Oryctolagus cuniculus: one gene and its partner. The protein of the gene in region 2 binds, or shares a complex with, the protein of the main gene of each other region. Links are inferred from orthologs where the notes say so. Each region holds a gene or a part of one and is shown on either strand. Other genes may lie near its edges.

The links.
Region 1: the proteins of LLGL1 (region 2) and PRKCI are in contact, whole or in part, in a cryo-EM structure (PDB 8R3Y), measured with the Homo sapiens proteins. The link is inferred for Oryctolagus cuniculus from reciprocal best matches to the Homo sapiens genes LLGL1 and PRKCI. Residues at the interface, in NP_004131.4 of Homo sapiens: Ala315, Asp319, Glu367, His391, Ser392, Ala394, Thr396, Glu453, Cys483, Glu484, His485, Phe506, Asp507, Pro508, Tyr509, Ser510, Asp511, Pro513, Gln518, Lys519, Lys569, Ala600, Val601, Thr602, Leu644, Gly648, Pro649, Leu650, Ser651, Arg652; in NP_002731.4 of Homo sapiens: Asp339, Met341, Gln345, Arg348, Leu381, Asp382, Met399, Thr412, Phe413, Cys414, Pro417, Leu425, Glu445, Gly449, Arg450, Ser451, Gly457, Ser458, Ser459, Asp460, Asn461, Pro462, Asp463, Asn465, Thr466, Glu467, Asp468, Tyr469, Leu470, Phe471.

Annotation. Positions count from the first base shown.
Region 1 is NC_091435.1:110,069,288-110,073,644, reverse strand, and holds the start of PRKCI (protein kinase C iota type), read left to right. Parts: upstream 1-1,265; 5' UTR 1,266-2,816; coding exon 2,817-2,917; intron 2,918-4,357.
Region 2 is NC_091448.1:62,289,935-62,294,457, forward strand, and holds the start of LLGL1 (lethal(2) giant larvae protein homolog 1), read right to left. Parts: upstream 3,035-4,523; 5' UTR 2,942-3,034; coding exon 2,861-2,941; intron 164-2,860; coding exon 66-163; intron 1-65. UniProt on the Homo sapiens protein: Cortical cytoskeleton protein found in a complex involved in maintaining cell polarity and epithelial integrity. Involved in the regulation of mitotic spindle orientation, proliferation, differentiation and tissue organization of neuroepithelial cells.

The DNA of each region.
Region 1 (4,357 bases), on a different chromosome or scaffold from region 2:
ATAGAAAAAGCACTTAACAAAACCCAGTAGTCTTTCATAATAAAAAATTAACAAGCTAGGAATAGGATGGGATGTCTTCAACCTGATAAAGGATATCCACAAAAAACCTGGAGCAATGATCACACTTAATAGTAAAAGACTGAAAGTTATCAACCTAAAGTTGGGAATAAGAAAAGGATGTCTACACTCTCCTATTTATCTTAGTACTGGATATTCTAACTGATGTAATTAGGTAAGAGAAAAATAAATAAAATGCACCCAAAATTTGAAAGGAAGATATAAATCTATACGTATTTTTAAAAATACATACTTTTAAATGATAGAATATCCTAAGGAATCCATGTAATAAGCATGTTCTGCAAGCTTGTAGAAGATCAATATGCAAAAACCAATTATATTTCTATATATTAACAATGAATAATCCTAAAATAAAATTAATTTAAAAATTCCATTTACAGTAGCATTAAGAAGAATAAAATACATAGGAATATTTACCAAAATAAGTGCAGAATGTATATTCTGAAAGCTACACAGCACAGCATTGAAATAAATTAAAGAAAACTAAATGAATCTATCATATCTATCATATCAATGTAATGTAAATATAAATGGATTAATAACTACTGTATTATCAAAGTTTAATGCAAAAATAAAAATAATAGGCGCCAGCATTGTGGTGTAGCAGTTAAAGCCACCGCCTGTATGCTGGCATCCCATATGGGCACCGGTGATCCAGCTCTCTGCTGTGGCCTGGGAAAGCAGTAGAAGTTGGCCCAAGTCCTTGGGCCCCTGCACCCACCTGGGAGACCTGGAAGAAGCTTCTGGCTCCTGGCTTCAGATTGGCGCGGCTCCAAGCTGTCGCAGCCAATTGGGAAGTGAACCAGCAGATGGAAGACCTCTCTCCCTCCCTCTCTCTTTGCATTTCAAATAAATAAATAAATCTTAAAAAAAAAAAAAAAAGGAGGCCGGTGCCATGGCTCACTTGGCTAATCCTCCCCCTGCAGCGCTGGCACCCCGGGTTCTAGTCCCGGTTGCTCCTCTTCCAGTCCAGCTCTCTGCTGTGGCCTGGGAAGGCAGTGGAGGATGGGCTTGGGTCCCTGCACCCACATGGGAGACCGGGAGGAAGCACCTGGCTCCTGGCTTCAGATCGGCGCAGCGCCGACTGTGGCACCAACAGAGGGAAGACTTTTCTCTCTGTCTCTCACTGTCTGTAACTCTTTCTCTCTCTCTCACTAAATCTGCCTGTCAAAAAAAAAAGTCTTTTTTTTCTTTTTCATGCTTTATCTTTCATTTCTTTATAAATTTTCACTTCTTATAGGCCATAAATTTTTTCTCGAGTATTATAAAATCTTTCAAGTCTGTCACAGCATACTCAATTTTCCATGAATCCAATCCATCTCACTTTAGATGTAATTTACATTCAATTGGTAACTGTTCTACATTTACCATATTGATGCAGGTCCCCAGTGCCCAAAAACTTGATACCAAATTTATAAACGAGAATGTTTATTAAGAACCTGTAATCCAAGTTTGTAGCAGTTAGAGGATATCATACCAATGTAAATGTTCCATATAACTGATGAATCAATCCCCCAAGCCTATTTTATTATCGTAAACAAAGCTATTTCTTTGATTATTCCAACTCTTTTGGCGAGCAATGGGTATTCAGTTCCCGCTATGAGCATGTGACAGAGCCAAGACACTAGAAAAGTCAGACTAGTTTACAAGGGTGGGTTCTTTCGAGTCCTTGATTTGCCACGGTCAACCGAACAAATGCTAATGGATGAATGGATTGATTGATTGGAGAAATATTCATTATGCACCTGTCCTACGTAATGGCAGTAAGCAGAGGCATATGAAGCAGAGCTGCAAAGGAAGAAAGATGTGTCTTCCGTCATACCTTTTAGGTGAGTTTCGTCCTTTATTACATTAGTAACATATTATTAAATTTTACGCATGAAAGAGGCTATGCTGAACACTTAACCAAATTCTTGTTCTCAAAAATGGCACTCAATAATTGAGATGATTTATGCAACTGGAAGTAAGGTTTCATCAGAGGGGAGAGTCTGGATGATGATGAAGCCCATCCCTTTCCAGTGTCCTCAGATGCCCAAGCTGTACACAGGATTTCCACGCCAACGGCTCCCAGGGAGCGCCCAGGAGACACGCGCTCAGCGAAAAGGCGCGGCATTCCACACGTAAGAGCCGCAAGTCCCAGAATCCCACTGGGACTCCAAATCCCAGAAACCCGCACGGCGAAGCTATCCGGGGTGCCAAGTCGGCTGACCGCAGACGCGACCAAGTTGGGAAACTGGGGTGAAATGCCGTAGCTTTCGGACCCTACCGTCTCCCATGTAGGAAAGGGGATCATGCCGAACCATAGGTGTAAAGCCTTTGTCACCGCTTCTGCAAGAGGCTCCCTCCTGGCGGGTCTGATGTGGCAGTCGGAGTCTCCCATTCTTTCCTGTCCCTCTCTCTGCCCCCGAAAGGATGGTTCAGCCTGGCTTTGAGGCTCCTTGAGCTGGACCGATGGTTGCGCCCGCCCAAGCCCGGAATGTGGGCCTTGGAAGCGAGCTAGGTGGGAGGGACCGAGGCGGGGAGGCGTGCTGGGCCCGGGCGGCGGTAGCGGCCGCGGGCAGTGGGAGGAGCCGCGCGGTTCCGGCTGCCCGGCGAGGCGACCTGTGTGTCGGCGCCGCGGGCGAGGCGGGCAGGTAGGCGAGCGGACGGCCGCAGCCCTAGCGCGGCGGAGTCCTCCACGGCGCCCAGCGTGCCCCCCGCAGCCTCGGCTTCGGGCGTGGAGGCGGGGGAGTGAGGCGATGCCGACCCAGAGGGACAGCAGCACCATGTCCCACACGGTCGCAGGCGGCGGCAGCGGGGACCATTCTCACCAGGTCCGAGTGAAAGCTTACTACCGTGGGTGAGTGTCCCGGAGCGGGGTGGGGGTGGGGAGTGGGAGGCGAGCGAAAGGCCAGCTGGACTTGGCCTGGAGGAGGGAAGGGTGGGAGGCTGGAGGTGTTGTAGGCGCGTTGGGCTGGGCGGGAGGCTCCGCGGACTCGGCGTGGGGGTGCCTGAGCCGGGGGAGGAGCAAGGGGGCGCGGGATTCGAGCTCCCCAGGTGTGGAGCACCCCCAGCTGCGGGGCGTTGGACTGCCGGGAGAACCCAAGACCAGGGTAGGGAGGAGCCCTGGGATAGGTAGGGAGGTACACCTGGTGGAGACGAGAGATTTGCAAGGGCTTGACGTCACGAAGTCTGGGTGAGTTTGGGGTCGAGAGCTGATGATGCCTCGACTGACTCAGTTTGCTGTGGACGTAGAAGTGACAGCACTGCCTCAGGTGATCGGCCTTTTCGATGATCAGCAGGCCCGGAGTCTCTGGTTCTTTAAGTTAGGTTTGTCTTCTTCGCTGTAGAAAAGTTCACGAAGTGGATCTGCACTCTGGTCAGACCGCCAGTGCGTTAGACGCCAGAGTAATGCTTAAGAGTAAAGTTGATGAGTTTTCAGGGATGGTCACTAGGTACTTAGGTCTCGCCCACAATGAGTTGCATACGTGGTCATTAAAAATTTGTGAACCTCTCTTTGTCAGTGGGTGAGGTATTGTAAGTAAGAAGAGGAAGAGGCCGGTCTTAAATTCTGTGGTCTTTCCTTACATTCTTACCTAAGTAATAACTTCTGTGGGTACCAGAAATAATCCAGCCCTAAAATCATTGTGGTAAATTCACATTCCATCATCGGTGACCTAAAATGTCCCCCTTGGAATTCGGTAGTGGTTTGAATGTCTTCGAGATAATTATGTTTAGGAGCATTAAAAAGGTGACATGTTTTTGTGAGCGTAAAAGTTTGAGATGTAGGAGTTAACAGAAAAGCTAAGTGCCTTGGCCTGCTTACTGCTTGTCCAGGCAGAAGTAAATTGCTTTAAAAATCTCAAGCACTGCAAGGTTGGAAGTGCAGTGCATGGTTTTTCATTCTTGAGAGGATCAGTGGAGACAGCAAACTTTCAAATTGCCTCTCTTGTTTTGATTTCCAGGAAAGTATAAGCCCATAATTTTCAGATGGATTCTGTGGAAGGAGTTACTAGTTTGCTGTCACAAAGCTTCTGCTTTTGTTTATTAGCTTGACCGCATTCACGAGTAGTTTTTAGGAGTTGTTGAACAGTATTATAACTGCTTTTACTTAAACATAGGTAAAATTGATCAAGGAGGTTTTGGTTTTAGAACAGTAGCAAGAAACATGTGGATGTTTCTTTAAAAGTTCGTAGTTGTCGCAAGAGTTGTTCTGTTTTGTTTCATGATTAGCCATGAACTTTGCAAGGTGAGATAAAAGCTTTCTATGCACGTTTTATTATCTTTCCTGTAATTTGAT
Region 2 (4,523 bases):
CTGGGCTCCGCAGGGCTGGGTGCTCCCAAACAGGCTCCGGCCCACCTCCAGGCCGCGGAGGATACATCTTGACAGCCCCGGACCGGGTGCCGATGGCCATGATGCGGAGTTCGGGGTCGAAGGCCAGGGCGCTGGGCTGGTTGGGGAAGCCATGCTCCACAGTCTGCGAGAGAGGGGACGCACGCTCAGGCCCCAGGTGGCCGCCGGGCTCTGCCATCGACACGGGGGCCCAGAGCCAGGCTCACCTGCTCCTCGTGCCCCAAGGCCTTCCAGTCGGTGGAGGGGGGGGGTTGGGAGCACCATGCTACATGACTTTGCTGCGTGCACGGCCCTGAGGCCCACCCACCTCAAGCCCCGGTTCCCTCAGTGCCCCACCCCCCCACCCCGCGACTGTACAGCGCGAGGCTTTCGGGGTGCACAAGGACCCCACCTGCCCTATGGGGGGCTTTGCACCCCGGTCCCAGAGGCACAGAGCTCCCCAAACACGCCTCGCGAGGAGGTCAGAGGTCAAAGACTAGGAGGTCGGAGGTCAAGGGCTAACACCTGGATTCCCTCCAGAGACAGGAAGACAGATGCAGAGAGAGGTAGCTTCCTGTCTAGCCGCTAAAGGCACTGAGGGTGGTGTCCAGGGCCGGTGCAGTGCGACCCCTCCCCCTGCCTGCCAGGCCTTCTTCCATACGTCCTCCCAGAGGGCCCTGCCGGTGTACCTGGGCCCACAGTGCACCATGCAGGGTGTGTGGGCCACCAGTGCCTCCAGACCACCAGGCTAAGGAAGCTACACACTTGCAAGAAGCCCCATGCCCAGGGGGGTCATTCTGCGGCCTGCCTCCCCAGCCTCGGCCTGTCCAGGTAGGGCCAGAGCCTACCGGGCAGCTGGCCTGGCCACAGGCCTGAGCCAGTTCACAGCACCATGCCAGCCTCAGTTTCCCATCTGGGCACGGCCATCTGAGGACAGAGCCACCCATGGGGCTGGAGAGCCACAGTGTGGGGGGGGGAGCTTCCCCTTCCCACCAGCACCGCCCTGGGCAGACCCGACCTGGTCAAGTGTCCAGCAGGCGGGCATCTCACACACAGCGCCCCCACACAAACATACACTGGGCTCCCCACCTGACAGAGGAGGAGGGAGACACAGGGTGAGGTCATGCACACGGCACCTGCTGCCCTCACACCCTACACGCCAACCCACTGGAACTACTACTCAGCAGAAGCCCCTCCCCTGCTCAGGACCCCCTTGGGCTCCCAGGTCAGCGGAGTCAAGGCCAAGTCCCTCGCTTCCCCCACCTGACTGCAAGGCCCACTGCCCCGCACTCCCCACATCTCAGGAGGCCTCAGATCCCTGTGCACCGCCCAGCCCCCCACCCCTGTCCACACCCCCCACACCTGGCCCTACCTCAATTCCCACCCAGCACTGTCTGCCGTCCAAGCTGCTCAGACTTTGTGGCTTCTCTCCCCCGACTCCCACTAGCACATCAGTCCCCCGAGAGCTCTACGAAGTCACTGTCCCTTTTGGTCACTGCTGTGTGCCCAGCACCTGGGAGCCCCAAGTGAGTAGGGGCTCGGTATTAAAGACGAGGAGCGCACGCACGTTCCACACATCTGAACCCAGAGCCTGAAGTCCGTGCTCACCCCGGCCCCAAACTCAGGCCAGGGGCCCCTTCTCTGGGAGCACTGGCCAGTCCCTTCCACGGCCAGGCCACTTCCCCGAGACCACGCGCCTGCCACTCATCGCCACCCAGGGGAGGCTGAACCTCACCCCCAGCTGACTCAGGCCCCACTGCGGAAGTACCCGCTCCAGCCTCGCATCGCGGGTCTCTCCCTACGGGGCTCACCCTCACAGCCCTGCGGCACGGAACAGGTGCCCACCACCCAGGCAGGAGCCCTGAGCCCCAGCCTCCCTCCTGGGCCCTCTAAGTCCCCCCTCCCACAGTCAGAGCCCTGCCTGTCCCAGCTGGGGGCAGCTCAGGACCACAGCAGCCCCTCAGAAAATCCTGCCTTGCCCTGCCCTGCCTGCCCCTGTCCCAGACTGTGAGTCCAGGAGACGTGCCCCGAGGCGCAGCCAGGCATGGTGCCTCAATTTCCCTCGCAATGAAACGGCGGGGGGGGGGGGGGGGGGCAATGCTCCGTCCTGCTGTGGGCTCCGGCTCCCTTGCCCCATTTCACAGCTAGGCAAATTGAGGTACCCCGGCTCCAAGTGCAGCTACCTGCACAGCCAGGCGATGGCCCCTGGACTCCCGGGACTCCCGCAGGACAGAGCGAAGCGGGGGAGTGGGAAGGGGGTGTGTGCGTAGGGACTCATCACCAGACGGACTTCCCAGCCCCACCGCCAAGATCTGCCTCCACCCCTCACCCCTCCCGCAGGCTTGGGTGTGAAAGCAAAACAAGAACTCGGGGTCTCCGGGCAGGGGCACGGAGGGGGTCCCGAGGAGAGCCCACAAAAGCAGAGAGCCCCGCAGGGGGACGGGAGGCGGGCAAACAGCCGGAGACACACGGACCGAGGCGGAGACGCCCCCCGCCCCCCAGCACGCACGCACCGACCGAGGCCAGGGAGACGGTGCAGGGCGGCGCGGAAGGGGCCGAGACCCCCGAGACCCCCATGGAGACGCGCAGAGCCGGGCCGGCCAGGCCCGCAGGGAGCCCGAGAGGCGGGCGCGCAAAGTCGGCGGGACCCAGCCCCAGCCAAGCGTCCGAGCGCGGAGCAGCGGCAGGACGCGAGGCCAGGGGCCCGCCGAGGGGGCGCCGGCCGCGCCCGCCAGCCGCGCGCCCCCTCCCCCGCCGGGCCCGACGTGGCTCCGACCCCGGCCCCCCGGCCCGCCCCTCGCCGCCTCAGCGCGGGCCGCCGCCGCCGCCGCCGCCGCCGCACCTTGTGGAAGGCGAAGAGTTCCTGCTTGAGCTTCTCGCGCTGCGGGTCGGCGCCCTGACGCCGGAACCGAAACTTCATCATCTTGCGCCCGGCTGCCGGCGCCGCCGCCGCCGCCCCGCAGGATGCGCCGCGCGGCCCCGCCGGTCCTGAGGCGCGGGCGGGGCGCCAGGCGGCCCGGGCGCGGGCCCGCGGGGCGGGGCTTGCGGGGGGTGGGCCCTCGGCGCGACGGACGCGCCGCCCGGCCAATGGCCGCCCCCGCTGAACCGTCCGCCCCGCCCCTGCCCGCCAGACAATGGGGGAGGACTGGGGCCCCGGGCTGGGCCGGACTTGCGGAGGGGCGCCCGCTGAGCATGCGCCGCGGCGCGGGGCCCGTCGGGACTTGTAGTCCGCCATTCCGGGGCTCCGGCGTGGGCGGCTGGGGACGCGCTTTGGAAGGGGCCAGCGCGTGTCCCGGGCTTGGAGGAGTCTTCTCCAGAGAGAACGACGTGCACATTCACGTAAACAGGGGCGGCCCTGTCCCGGATGGGAAAGTTCCCTAGGCTCCTCAGGCTGTTTCCCCTCTCCGCCTGTGGGCCAACCGATTGCCGGGTTTCACCGGCCTCTCGGGGCACCCCAGGGTGCCAGAGGGCCTCCTCCCCCGCCATGCTTGTGTGGCCAGTCAGGAATGCCTTCCACAGCCTGCGGGGAACTCCTGCACACCCCGCAGGACCCCACGCAGAAGGCCCCGTGTCACGGGACTCCCCTGAGTGGCATCGACCCAAGACCACCGTGAGGGAGCCCTTCCGCGGGAGGGGGCGTTTGGGACTGCGCTGAGGCTGGATTTGGGCTCCTCTGGGACTGGGAACAGTGTGTAAACAAAGCTGCGCCCCGCCCCTCCCAGGCCGCCTTCTCTCTTCGGCACAATGGCTTGGGAAGCTGACCCTCTCCATCCACGCTAAAGCCAGGTCCCAGAAGCTTAGGTGGGGCCGGTGGGCGAGGTCCCAACCCCAGCAGCTGTGTCCAGGGAGGAGGGGCTGACCTCTGACCCCCAGGCAACTGCCAAGCCACGGGGGAGGGGCCTGGCTGCCCCCAAATCCACCCACACCCAGCCGGCCCTAACCCAGCCCTTCCTTGGAATTGGGGCTGGGTCCGGAGATGGGTGGGGATGCAGGGGGCGCCTGGAGAGGAGAGGAGGGAATGGGGGGGGGGGGAGCACAGCCGGGGGTGGGCAGGTCTGGGAGAGAGGCTGTCATCCCAGTTTTATGGACAAGAACGCTGAAACACACAGGGACAAAGGCAAGAAGAGGGTCTTGAATTGCGTGGGCAGGGCTGGCTGGACAGAGGAGGAGCGGACCTTTCTCTGGCCACTGCTCCCTCCAACACCCAGCCCGGGCAGCCCCAGAGGCCTGGGTGGGAGCCCCTGTCCTGCCACTCAGCCTCACTCTGGAAGTGTTAGGAAGTTAATTCACATCCTGACCTCACCATTAAAAAAAAAAAAAAAATTGAAAGAGATACGGAGGAGACGCACAACACACAGAGAGAGGTCTTCCATCGGCTGGTTCAGTCCCCCAAGTGGCTGCAATGGCCTGGCTCAGAAGCCGGGAGCTTCCTCCGGGGTCCAAGCCCTTGGGCCATCTTCCGCTGCTTTCCCAGGTGCATTGGCAGGGAGCTGGATCCGAGGTGC